Arabidopsis thaliana: one gene and its partners. The protein of the gene in region 2 interacts with the protein of the main gene of each other region in a pairwise test. Each region holds a gene or a part of one and is shown on either strand. Other genes may lie near its edges.

Region 1 (4,897 bases), on a different chromosome or scaffold from region 2:
TTGACTCCTCCTTTTTTTACTCTTTTAGCCAAAGAAACATAATTAAGGGGAAAAAACACAGAACAAAGCTCTTACTTCATCTCTGGGTTCGCAGGGTCCAATACATAGCTTGCATCCATACTCCTGCTCGAGAGCCTGGCCTAGAATGTGGGCGCTAGAATGCCAGAAAGTATTACGGCCTTGGTCGCTGTCAAATCCGAAAATCTCTAAGGAACAATCACCTTCCAGGGGCCTATTCATGTCCCACAAGACATGATTAACCGAAGAAACCAGAGCAGATTTTGCTAAACCCTTAGAAATCTGCACTGCGATGTCCATTGGAGAGGTCTCCCATCTCCTTCCTTCTTTCTCGATACCGTCGGGGAGAAGAGTAATCCTAAGCAGTGAAACAAAAACCAGAAATCAACTAATTGCAAAACCCTAGCTTAGCAAACAAATTGATGCACCCTAGTGAAAATGATGAACAATTAATCATAAACGTATTTACTTGATTGGATCGTGTGGCCGAGATTGAAGCTGCTCAAGCTGCTCGGCTTGGATTTCCTCGAAGAGCCTGATACGCTTGGGGATGACGGATGAGAGATAAGCCTCATCCTTGGGATGATGATTATTCGCCATCGATGGATGAGCAGAGAACGAAGGACAAATAGAAACTATAGAATATAGAAGATGACGTTGAGAGCAGAGGAGTAGATTATCCCAAGGTCAACTTCCCTTTTATAGCTACAACACTAAAGTGACTTGCGGGCCAAGCTTTAGAGCTTTTCCTTTCATTTTTTGTAATAAGGTAATAACAACAAGTGGCAGATGCACCTAACTTTACATAATTTCCTTTTGTATTTAAATAATTTTCTACAATATTTATAATTTCTTTTCAATTGAATTGTAGTTTTGTTGATAAAATGCAAATTAAAAGTATATGTATATAACCTATTTTGGCGTGACTTTCTTTGATTTAATGTTTCACATTTATATTTGTTGCATTCTCAATAATATCCAAATGACCATTATTAGGCCTATTAATGTGGAAGCTATAAAATCAGTTTGAAGTGGGCTTATTATTTGTAGTTTTGGGCTCTTAAAAGCCTATTAATGATGAAGCTAGAATCAGTTTTGCAACGTTCTCGGATGGTTTCGTGTTACAAAAATGTAGTCGGGTTCGATTTGGTTGAACCGGGTCTGGTAGACAATAATGTAATATTGGAAAGGAAAACGGTTCAGGCTTCGTGGCGATGAGCATCAACCATCAAGGCTTTGCTGGATGTCTTCAAAGCTCAAGAGTGCCAACTTTATGTATACGAGGATTGTTCAAATATTAAAACCAACCAAAGAAGTGGTCTTTTGATGTTTAAGCTTATCGTAGGATGTTTCAGCTGGACTTTGTGTCTCTTCTTTATCTCTACCAAAATAATATCTAATCACTCTCTCTCTTTTTATTTATTTAACAAGATTGTTTCGACTTAAAAGAGTCATGTAGTGACTGACACCTTTCCTATTTTTACAAGCAAGCATCATTTTAAAAATTTTAAAATTTACTTTTCTGGAATAGAAAAACCAAAAATAAGCAAAATCATTAAACTAAATTGCCCAAAAAAAGTTAAAAACCCAGAGAAATACTCAAATTAACCTAAACAATATCTCTTATAAAATCATTATTTCTAATTTGGTAGTATTCACAAAAGATATGCATGAGCTGATTTTGTTTGGAATCTCATACTAATGGTTGCATGTAAAAACAAAAACTAAAAAATCTTTAATAGTATTATATAGGAAAAGCTATAATCATTATACAAAAACTGTATCATCATCATCATCAAGCTTGAAATCACTCTCTTTCATCCTTCCCCGCGCACTGTGTCTCGCTCTCTCTCTCCCACATTTCCATTATCTCCTTTACTTTCTTTCTTTGAGAATGTCTTCTACAACAATCGGCGAGCACATCAGACTCCGACGAGCTAGAAACCAAACAATCCGTCATCTCCACGCCGCCGACGATGATCCGCCGCTAAGCCACGTCGTTCTTCCGATTTCACAACCTAATCGCTTCTGTAACTCCGCAATGTCTTCCTTCTTTCCCCTCCCGACTTCCTCCTCCAACGAAAGCACGAGGAAGAAACCGTACCAAACGTCGTCGTTTCGAGGGATGGGTTGCTATGCCGCAGCAGCAGCAGCAGCTCAAGAGGTTTCTGTTCCCTCCGTCATTCGCTACTCCGCGGATTTGGATGCCAGAATTAGAAAAGATAAGAAGAAGAAGAAGCATAAGCATAAGAAAAAGAAAAAGAAGAATAAAGGAAGCTACGAAGATGGTTCGATTAGGATTTTAAGCGAAGAAGCTAGAGACGTTATTGATGTTTGGTGCAGACCTGGATTAGGCTTCTCCACGGATGCTGTAATTGGTCGATCGGTTGATCCTCCTCGGGGAAGGAATATTCCGTCGTCTCGTCGCAAAATTGATGTGGATAACAACAATTATAATCACACACTGGTAAATTGATCTAAAGTTGGATGATGAATTTAGTGTTATTATGTTATTGACTTTGACTTTGAGGAAATGGTATCGTTTAGGCAGAAACTGTGTGGAGTGGTTGGAGCTCTAGTGGTTGTAGTTAGCTCTATGCCAATTGCTGGGCCATTGTTAGTTTGGTTTGGTTTATTAATATATGTGTTTGGATTCTCGTTTAGACAAATCATAAGGGTCTACTTTAGATGTAGCGGTTCTCTATTATTAGTTTTTGTTTCATGTGAGGATAATATAGAAAATTTCTTTGTTTGACGTGCGGGTGGTTCTTTTGGGTTTGATGCTCAATAAACTAATCGAACTCTGGTTTGGTTAGAGAATGGAATCTTATCATGCTTTTGTCTCGTTTAGCTAGAGGATGGAATCTTAGCATTGTTTAAGTTTCTTTTTGGTTGGATTCAATTGGTTAGGGGAGTTGTTGGATTTATTTTGATCAAAGAAACGCATTGCTTCAGAGGACTTGAAAATTAGGAATCTATCATCATGTCTAAGTGTTTGAGAAATGATAACACAATGCTACAAATGTTCTGCAGGGTTCTTCTGTTCTTCCCATTCGGTTTCTCAATCAAGAAACTCATTCTCATGATATCTTCAACTCTGATTCTACTTTTGTGACATCATCACGCGCTGAACCAACGATGTTGTCAAGTAGATGTCGTGGCCATCTTCCACGCTCTTACCCTGATGATCTTACCGAGGTAGAATGTTCTTGCCAAATAGTTGCCTTGTCTTTCTTGCATCTGGTAAATGTTATAGATTTGACTTCTTAGTTTATTAACTGATCACACTCAACACTATGTTAAGGTTTGACTTGTCACTTGGCTTCATATCAACTAAGAGATTATTCTAGAGTTGTCTCTTACATATTCTAGTGACTGATAGAGTGGAAGACAAATAATGTAATCGTTCTCTTTGGTGCTGTATGGTGCTGTAAAACTGTTTTGGATGGCTAATAGCAAGTGAGCAAGTTAAAGAACTAAACCATGCAGCTAGTGTAGTCATGTTCCTGCTGTTCACTGCAGATGAGGATGCTCCAGAATGGTTTTGTAATGGGAAGAATAACAGATTCCCGTGATAACTACCACGAATTGAGGCTCGATGTTGATAGCATGTCATACGAGGTATGTTTTTCAAAATCTCATGAGAAAAACACTTGCAATCTCATCTTCTCAACTTTATCGAGTGTGTTTGCTTTGGTCTACGCAGCAACTTCTTGAGCTTGGTGATAGAATTGGTTATGTGAATACTGGACTAAAAGAAAGCGAGATACATCGTTGTCTTGGGAAAATCAAACCATCCGTATCACATACTCTTGTTGATAGAAAATGTAGCATCTGTCAGGTAAACTCCAGATTGAGTCAATGGCTTCTCGAAACTTCAGACAGATCATGAGTTTCATAATGCTATTCCTTATTGTTTGATGGTGACAGGATGAGTATGAGAGAGAGGATGAGGTTGGGGAATTGAACTGTGGACACAGCTTTCATGTCCATTGCGTGAAACAATGGCTTTCGAGGAAGAATGCTTGTCCGGTCTGTAAGAAGGCAGCATATGGCAAGCCTTAAAAGACTTTTGTATCTCGTCGGGTTTCTGATAGCTCAAGATCTTTCAAGCCACCTTGCTGTATAGAGATCTGTATCATCTGATACTTGATTCATATTTGTTGTTTTTGCATTTAGCAATCACAATTTTTTTTTTTTAAGATCTTATATTCTTTGTTGGGTCTATTTATGTGATTGAAATCAAGAGTTTGAAATCTATGTTTTCTGTTGCCTAGGTAGATTTAAGACAGGTAGAGAGTAATTTAGCATATAGCATACACGCACGTAACTAAGAATCAATGTTTTAACGTTTGAGTCTGCATTTATATATATATGTGAAGTAAACTCAACCCAGACTTTTATTTATGACAGAAAAAGTGTTTGGGATCCATAGACAAGAACACATTACATTAATCTTATCCAAACGAGTTTTACATGAGATCATGCAACATCTAAGAAAAGCATATAAATATAAGACATAAAGTAACAAGAACCCCTCAACTTAACATCTCGAATTTCCGTAAGTGCTCTGAGATTCTTGGCAATGTAGGGAAAAGCCATTATTACTTGCCATTGGTTTTGCCTAGAGACGTGAAGCTCAATCTGCGAATAATCAGACAAACAAAAACAAACAATCTTTGTCAAAATCCAAAAATGTATATTCAAACGTTAAGAGTAAACATAGACACAAAATCACTTACTTGATTATCGGTTTTCGCTGTTGTACTGAAGGTCTATGTGCCGCATCGGGCTGTCGCGTGGGAAGAACCTTTCAACAAAAGAGAAATCAGACAGGAGGAATAAGATCAAGAGAACAATTTATGTATCGAAAATTGAT
Region 2 (3,937 bases):
TAATGTTAACCCTACTTATGGCCAACTTCGTCTGCCCAGAAGCTTCTTCGAACAGCAGATTCGAGGACATCTGCCTGAAGCTGATTTGCAAAAGCGGACTCATTGTTAAGGTATAGGACAACGACACGAGCACAATGCATGAGCTGCGTCTGGCAGTACAATATACCTATGTTCTAACGGGTGACTGGCTGGAAGATTTTATCCAAAAGGAGAAGTTTGAAAGAAAGAGACGATATAGGACTCTTATGGGATTCTTCTGCTTCTAGGCTTCACTTTGGCGTGATTGCTCGTGGAAAGGCAATAGTTCCCCGGAAGAGAACAAGGTCTGCATAATGTGATCTCAATTACAAACGCATATCAGCAGCTGAGAGAGCTAGTGTTTTGTTCTTTCTATTTTGTCAAAACAACGATTGGTATGGCTTATATGGTTAAGTTTTTTATGCAACCAACACAAACAATATATGATTTATCAGATTTAAACTTCTAAGTGAAGCTAAACCAGTAACTGCATGATAGATACTTGGCAACAGACAAAAAACCTGTATCATTAATTTAGGAGATTATAGTTTTACAACAAAATTTCGGGTTCCATTAACTAAATAAGGAAAATAACTGTAAAAACTCAGGCAGACATCAGCTTTGGACCATTGTCTGGCATTCCCATTCCACCAGCTAAATCTGCATCGAGTTGCGAGTGTGGCGCTGGTCGCTCTATCTTCTTCACACTGCAATCACACAAAAATCCAAATGGACAATAGAAAGATATTAAGTCTGAGTACAGAGCAACAGACATGCATAGATCAATAATATAATCATACAGAGGTAATCAAGTTACAAGTGCTAAAACATTTTTAGCTACGCCAGTGACGAGAAATAGCTTTAACATTGCCAGCAAGATGAATTCAAAGTAGACGAGCACAAGAACCAAACACAGTTCCAAGATCAAAACAAGATAGAAACCAAGACCAAGGAAGAAGAATCCACATACCGCTTTTTGTGTTTCTTAGTCTTGAAATGATAATCCATCACTGATGCATTGGAGAAGTTCCGACTGAAAAATATCAAGGTAGAGAGACAAGGTCAATCAAATACAAACAAATGTTCACACAAACATGGAAATCTAGAGTAATTCAAAGATTGTCTTTTTGCACATATAATCTTACTGGCAGAGTAAGCAGTTGAATTGACCCATTCCAGGTAAATCCTCCGTCTCTGGTTTACGCAACTCTGTGAATACCAAATTAGACATCAGCTTTGGGCCATTGTCCGGCATCCCCATTCCCCCGGCTAAATCTGCATCGAGTTGCGAGTGTGGCGCTTGTCCCATCATCATATTCACACTGCAATCCAAGTGGACAAAACACATATAATAAGTCTTGAGTACAGAGCAACACTGCAACAGACATGTATAATCATACAAAGGTAATCAAATTACAAATGCTAAAACATCTTTAGGTACACAGAAGTGAAGAGAAATAGCTTTAACATTGCAAGCAAGAAAGTAAACGAGCACAAGAACCAAACACAGTTCCAAGAACACAAAACAAAATAGAAACCAAGGCCAAGGAAGGAGAAGAATCCACATACCGCTTCTTGTGTTTCTTAGTCTTGAAATGATCATCCCTCACTGATACGTTGGAGAAGTATCGACTAAAACATATCAAGGTAAAACAAACAAATGGGTCATATAGAGTAATTCAAAGATAATGTATTTGCTAAAAAAAAGTTTCATAAACCAAAAGAATCGTCAATAGAGTAATCATAGAATCTCTCTTACTCGCAGTGTAAGCAGTAGAATTGACCCATTCCAGGCAAATCCTCGTCAAGCTGTAACGGCTTAATCTCCGTCTCCGGTTTACGCAACTCTGTGTAAACCAAGTCATCGCCTTTGACTTCGAATTTGTCACGGCGAGCTGTTTTGTGAGATAATCTCCTCTTCTTCACTTTTCTAGTCGGACATCTACCCATTTTAGCTTCCTAAGTACTGAGATCGAATCATCAATTGAAAAATTAGTGACTAATTGATAAGAATCTAAACGAATTTGCAGATTAATTCAAAACTTACGATTCAGAGAAGAAACTGTGTAGGAGGAGCTGAAGACGACGAATGCGGAAGAGGAAACCCTAGAAAAAATATCAGTTTCGGTTATAAAGTATTGATTAACCTAAAAAGGGCGGTTTCAGTGATGGAGACTTTGACGCAAGGCCCATTTATTAAACAGGCTTAGATAGGCCCATTAATAATTAATGATTTGGAAATCAGTAATACATACGGAACCAATTAAGATCTAGTCTGAAATTATTCTGAAATAGCATTGTAAGATAAGTCACAGAGTTCTAGCAATGTACTTGGACCGAATTAGTGACAGAAGCGTAGGTTTACTGATAAATCTCATAACCTTGTTTTTAGGGTTCCATTAATTTATTAGTATAACAAGAAACCAATAAATTCTTAGAAGTGGAGAGAGCAAGGGAATGAAAGGCCTCTTTGCGTTGCATACTCTTAATGCTCCCCACAATGATGGTTTTGTTGTCTTGGGGAGGGTTTGAAGCTTGTTTCTTCTCTCTATAATTTTTTTTGTCACCAATACGTCATGTCTCCACCACACTTACTATCCCGAGTTTGAAATGCTTTCCAATTAATGTTTTAATAGAACCGATCCTACTTATGTTATGTGGATTTACATCTAGAGCAAGGACAATGTGTCATTCTCATTCCTCCAGCTAGATAATACGTGGTTAGCAAGATTTGTTTGAAATGTGGGACGTTCCTTTTTTCTTTCCAGATACTTCTACACCATATTGGTTCGTCAATGGGGTCTAATTGTTCTAATAAACTAAGGTGCTCCTGCCGAGGAATACAATAATTGTAACAATGATAGTGAAACAGACCGGTACCAAATCCAAACTTTTCATATTATTTATTAGTGTAATAATGTTGCATGGAGATCCATTTAGATGTTTAAAATTGAGTTCTTGATGAGTTGGTTCTACTTTGTCTCTGCCCCCACTAAACTTGATTTCAAAACGTTTCTATAGCCCATCTTTTTCATGTTGTCTTAATTATCAGATAGATTTTACTCTTTAGACTCCTAAGACCAAGTTACTGTATATCATTTTGATTATCTTATTTTCTTTCACTTTCTAACTGTAGTTTACTTTTAGGTTCCATTCCGTAAACATTGCTATCGTTTTGTGATGAACACAAATTTCTTTTAATTTGTTCTTTCCTCATTATTTCCTAGCAAAATGAATGGAAATTATATTTCATAAAATGAATCTTTAATAGTTTAATCCATGTTACAGCCATTTTCACCTTTACATGAGAGACAAATATGTACGGCGAACTTTCTAGCAACAAAAAACTGACATGCATGAAGATGGTTTTTTTTTTTTTTTTTTTTTGCCAGTCGCATGAAGATGGTTTATAACCATATTGAATGGTCATTTTTGTAAGCTACAACGAGAGGCGAGCAATGAGACTTGCCAAAAAAATATGAGGAAAAATGGTGACTTGCATGTGTACTTAAAATGGCACCATATGGATGGATGAAACTACTTAAAGGGTTGAAACGAGACGATTTTCTGTTGCCATATTTTTCTTGATTTTGTGTGGCTGTGTATACCATAATCTCTAATTGCAACCTGAAATTAAAATGGTCTATTTATGTTGCAATTAGTGATTATGTTTTATATTAACCTTGGTAAAGTTAGTTAAAATTATCCAAGTCAGCCTGACGTGTTACACTGTGGAACACGAAAACAAATCTTTGTAGTTTGTATGTGTTGAAATCGTATTTAGCTACATATAATAAGTGACCATTTCTACCCTAAACTTCCAAATTACTGAACAAAACGTTTCAAAAGATCCAAACATCGATTTTCAAAATACAAACACAAACTTACGTACGTTGAAGTTTGTGGTCATTGTGATCGT
Region 3 (4,555 bases), on a different chromosome or scaffold from region 2:
TTTGAAGGCAAGCATTGCTCTTTGATGCCTGATTCAGTGTACAACTCATCCCGCAAGAGCAATGAGAACGGTGACACGCCAAACCATCCAATGGGTCAGACTGAATTGAGCGACGGACAACTCGAAGCATTCAAGAGCCTCTCAGTTGCAACCTGAAAACCCTCTTAGCTATCAATAAGAAGCAAATCAACCCAGGAGATAATTTACAGAAGATGGAAGATCTGTTCCTACAGACCCGGATCAAACTTGAGATTTAATGAATCTTTCCCCGAGGTGTGTGGATCAGAAAATGTTTTGGAGTTGTAACATGCCAAATGTGTATAATTGTTTTTCTATATAAGGCTGGGTTTCAAGTTTGAAGAACAATGCCACAAAAAAAGAGAGGGGTCTTGTCTTTTTTTTTTTCTTGTTTTTTTTCGTTTTGTTCTCTCCACACTTTAAAGAGGATTTCTCTGATGTTGTACCCTTTTATCTCCTTCTTTTTTCGGTTTCTCCACATTATTTATTTTCTCCATTACAATGTTTAAGCTTCTTGACATCTCTGGAAAATTTTGATTTGACGAGCCTACCTTTGAGTGAGACGTTACATCTTTTTCTTATATAGTTCTCTCATATACATAACAACTTTATTTCGAAATTTATTGATTTGGAAAGACAAAATGAATAAACAACATCTCAACTATACAAGTCTTAAGTCTATACACGTCACAGACTATGGATCCCAAATTCCAAACAGTTGCGATCAACTCAGCTTTTGTCTATGAGGAAGCACTGCTGCTTTCTCCAACCTCATTTTTGCAGAGAGGGCAAGTCGCATTGATTTTAAGCCATTTGTCTACACAGTCTACATGGAAGACATGTGAGCATGGCAGCTCTCTAACTTGTTCGTCGTCTCCATATCTAGTCAAGCAGATGCAACAGCTCTGCAAAACCAATATTTATCCAAGAAATGCAGACAATAGTTAACAGTTGCACTGAACTTCTGTACACAATTGTATTAACCAACTAATTCAAATGAATTCATGGCGGAACTAAGGGTATTGACTTACGGCATCCTCGCCTGATATAAGACGTTTCTTCTGAGACCCCAAGAGAAGAAATCCACCTTCACCTTCTTCTGAAAACTCCAAATCATTTCTACTTTTTGATTTGAACCTGTAGACAGGCAATGCGTTGATGGCCTCGGCAGTGGCTCCTCTAGTTTGTGAGAAGTTCTCTCGAAATCCGAGAACCGAGATTAAGCAAGGCAAACAACAACATATGGTTGCACATAGTATGAATGGCATTGCATATCCAATGCAACTGAAAGTAAGGAACGCTATGCATAACCTGCAAGAAAAACATGAGTGTTAGAATTTCAGTTCCTCATTGGGACATAATAGCGGATGAAGTCGAAGGCGTGTACCTGTACAGTTTAGGAGAATCAGAAGGAGATGAGTGACCTCCAAATATCCATACATTCCCCACAACAAACCACACCGCAAAGAAACAATCAATCGCCATCTTGAAGTGGTCCACTAGCCCGTTGAGCCTGCCAGTCATTAACAATTGTTAACTAACCAACCCAAATTAATTGAGGCCAAACAAAGTAATTAGACTTACCTTGTTCTTAAGCTTTCCCCAACTTGATTGTTTCTAGGTGCTGCACTCACGCCAGTGCTATTTTCTTCATCTGCTGCTTGAGCAACTGAGACTGCTGTATATGGTGTGGACTCACTATTGCCTTGAGAAGAGGTAGCACGTTGTGAAGAGTCTTGCCCTGTAGCTCGATTATAAGTGCGAAAACGCCAATAGAGAATAGGGAGAGTGGCTAGACAGCCACAAGTATATCCAATAACCCAAGTAAATAATGGCGCTTCAGGATGTTCATCTTTAGCCAGAACCATAACTACAATGGCTGCAACAATCTGAGCGACAGTGACAACTAACTCAACTGAGATCCAGAGGCCAGAATTCAATGGACTCCTAGTACGGCGACCATTCCCGTTATCTCCTCTCCTAGAAGAAGTTGGTCTTTGCTGAGGAGGAGATGGATGAGTTGGGTGTTGTTGTGTAGCATTTGATGATGATAATACTGTCTCTTCACCTTGATGTGAGTTACCTTGAGGAGTAAGCTCATCGAGAGAAGATCTTGATGAAGAGTCCTCCTCGTCATTGCTTGTAATGTCAACGATGTGCTCGCGGTTACCGTGGTCCATTAACAAAGGATCTTGATCAGTTAGGGTTGTATTTCGCACAATGGAAGAAACATCCATCTAAATCCAAGTAGAAAACTGAAAATCACAAAAGTCAGCAACCACAAGTCCCCATTGTGTTGACCAAAGCAAATTCAACTCTAGCTCTCGTAACACACAACCGCAATCTCCAGTAGAGCAAGAGCAATGTAGTGCGAAACACTCACCTGTTATAGCACAGGAAACAGCTTTAGAATTCAAACCAAGAACTGGGGGAAAAAAATCAGAAAGTAGATAGCTTTTAGGATTATAAATAAAGCATTTTGTAAACCCCTTAAACGACTCTGCAAGGATTAACAAATCCAACATCTGACGAACCCTAAGTCAAAAAAAATCCCAGTTCAAGTTTGACTCTTTCAAACAATTCTGACAGTTTGAAATTCTGAGCTTGGTGAAGAACCCAAAACTGGAATTCCAACAAATTCAATCGTAGCATAAGATGATACGGTCTTGAAACACAAATTCGGAAATTACCGAAAAAGACAGAAGATCGAAAACAGGAAGAAGAAGAAGAGTAGACGATAAAATGGTAATGAAGCCTTTTTACCAGAATTGGAAAAGCTGCGAATAAGCTATTGTTGAAACCTTCTTCGTCTTCTTAGTACTTGTTGTACTCTTCTTCTTTTTCATTCTTCACAGGAAGACAAATAAAAAAATAGGAATCGGCTGATTTTATTTTTGCAGCTTTCGCAGAGTTGCAGTAAATAGGGAGAAGACTGATTGATTTATTAGTTTTTTACTAAACTCATGATTACAGATTTCGTCCTTCTGTCTTAAATCTTTAACCGTTGGATCTTAAGGGTTTCTATGTACTAATCTGATCGGACGGTCGTGGATGACTCCTTGTTTAGAAGGTGCTTTGTTGAGTTTATTACCTGATTAAGCAATTTCCTTCCAGACAAAAACAAATCTCATAATAGTCTGAGGTTTATTGATTTGTCTATTCCCAAATCATTTCTTAAAATTCTATAATGTTTCTTTTGTCATTCTAAATTTTAAAATTATACTGTAAATGTTATTGATATATTTAGTTCTTAATAGAGTTTTAAACCCTTTTTTCTAATGCATGTTAAGACAAAGAAATTTAATATGAAGTTCATTATAGAGATATGACACTCTAATTATCTGGAACATAACGGAATAAGATCTTAATCAAATTCTGGATTCCGTTATGTAGATTTTTATGGAATGACAACAAAAGAAAGAAAAAATAACTGGGCTTATTTTGGGCTTGATACCATAATGGCATTATGATGTATCAAATCTGCCATGATGTATTCTTGACCCACTGTAGGAAACCTGGATTGGTTTGGGCTTAATTGGATAAACAATCTGTATAGAATTTACTGGTTTCGTAATTCTCTAAGTCTCGGACCGCTCTATTATGTTATCGCAATTTATTATACCCAAGTAAATGTCCAAGACATCAATATCAGTTTTCTAGAGCCTAAAAGCAGTTTCGATTATTTGAGACAAAAAGTATCAATTAACATTAAATACTAGCTACCAAATTTATGTACTTCTTATTATTATCTCACATATTTTGTTACGAGTCGAGTTAAATGAATTATACGACTGTTTCATTCCATGCGCATTATAACGAAAGAAAACAAACTTAGAAAACAATGGCTGACCGGAATTACCGGTCACGGGTTTGTAATCGAAACCGGTAAATTCGTCTATGTGTCGCCAGTAGGACCTATTAGCCCCTGGTTTAACTCTTATTGCCCTTATTGGTCTAAGAATAGTGTCGTGAACCATCGAAAAAATCATTTATGATTCTATGTTCCCCAACGAAAAACAGAGTCACGTGACTTACGCATGTGACCCTACGCTGCTGTAATTAATGTTCTGCTCTTTTCCTTTGTCTAAACTTTTTTGACATCTCATTTCATATTGCATGTAAATAATATGACTAATATGAAATTAATACCGGACACTGAAAAACTTTTCAGTAAAAACTTTATACTTGTTCACTAAAAAAGGGATAGTTATCTATCTCTAACTTTTTTTATCCCAAATCATGAAACTTTTAATCGCTTTTATACAATGATTGATGTTCATTATATATTTTATTTTAGATTTTATTTCAATTTTGAAGTAGAAGTTTCAACATTTAGTTCTGTTCACATTGTTTTTTTGGTGGGAACATTCTTTTCATTGTTTACAAGATCCACACGCATATTAGTTGGGATTTCTTCTGATATTCGGTGAAAGATTAAACTAATGAAGAAGTATTGTACCTAATTAGTGTGTAGTGTACGATGATAGATAATTAGGAATATATTGTTAGACCATGATTTGTTTTCGACCGACGACAG

What was found. Proteins that work in one complex are often made in the same cells at the same time.
Region 1: the proteins of AT2G36930 (region 2) and AT1G17970 interact in a two-hybrid assay, tested with the Arabidopsis thaliana proteins (one large-scale study listed by BioGRID).
Region 3: the proteins of AT2G36930 (region 2) and AT1G80400 interact in a two-hybrid assay, tested with the Arabidopsis thaliana proteins (one large-scale study listed by BioGRID).

Annotation. Positions count from the first base shown.
Region 1 is NC_003070.9:6,183,120-6,188,016, forward strand, and holds AT1G17970 (RING/U-box superfamily protein), read left to right. Parts: upstream 1-1,597; 5' UTR 1,598-1,912; coding exon 1,913-2,485; intron 2,486-3,051; coding exon 3,052-3,216; coding exon of another isoform or gene 3,217-3,288; exon of another isoform or gene 3,289-3,540; coding exon 3,541-3,639; intron 3,640-3,724; coding exon 3,725-3,859; intron 3,860-3,948; coding exon 3,949-4,083; 3' UTR 4,084-4,354; downstream 4,355-4,897. Other genes in the region: AT1G17960 (Threonyl-tRNA synthetase), read right to left, coding at 76-376, 488-618; PAPS1 (poly(A) polymerase 1), read right to left, coding at 4,623-4,662, 4,761-4,828.
Region 2 is NC_003071.7:15,509,380-15,513,316, forward strand, and holds AT2G36930 (zinc finger (C2H2 type) family protein), read right to left. Parts: upstream 2,229-3,937; 5' UTR 2,066-2,228; intron 1,985-2,065; 5' UTR 1,969-1,984; coding exon 1,778-1,968; intron 1,651-1,777; coding exon 1,588-1,650; intron 1,341-1,587; coding exon 1,164-1,340; intron 1,052-1,163; coding exon 989-1,051; intron 726-988; coding exon 623-725; 3' UTR 519-622; downstream 1-518. Other genes in the region: AT2G36920 (B3 domain protein), read left to right, coding at 1-109.
Region 3 is NC_003070.9:30,223,564-30,228,118, reverse strand, and holds AT1G80400 (RING/U-box superfamily protein), read right to left. Parts: upstream 2,944-4,555; 5' UTR 2,782-2,943; intron 2,402-2,781; 5' UTR 2,256-2,401; coding exon 1,603-2,255; intron 1,532-1,602; coding exon 1,406-1,531; intron 1,330-1,405; coding exon 1,050-1,329; intron 924-1,049; coding exon 759-923; 3' UTR 544-758; downstream 1-543. Other genes in the region: EMB2753 (tetratricopeptide repeat (TPR)-containing protein), read left to right, coding at 1-144, 287-340.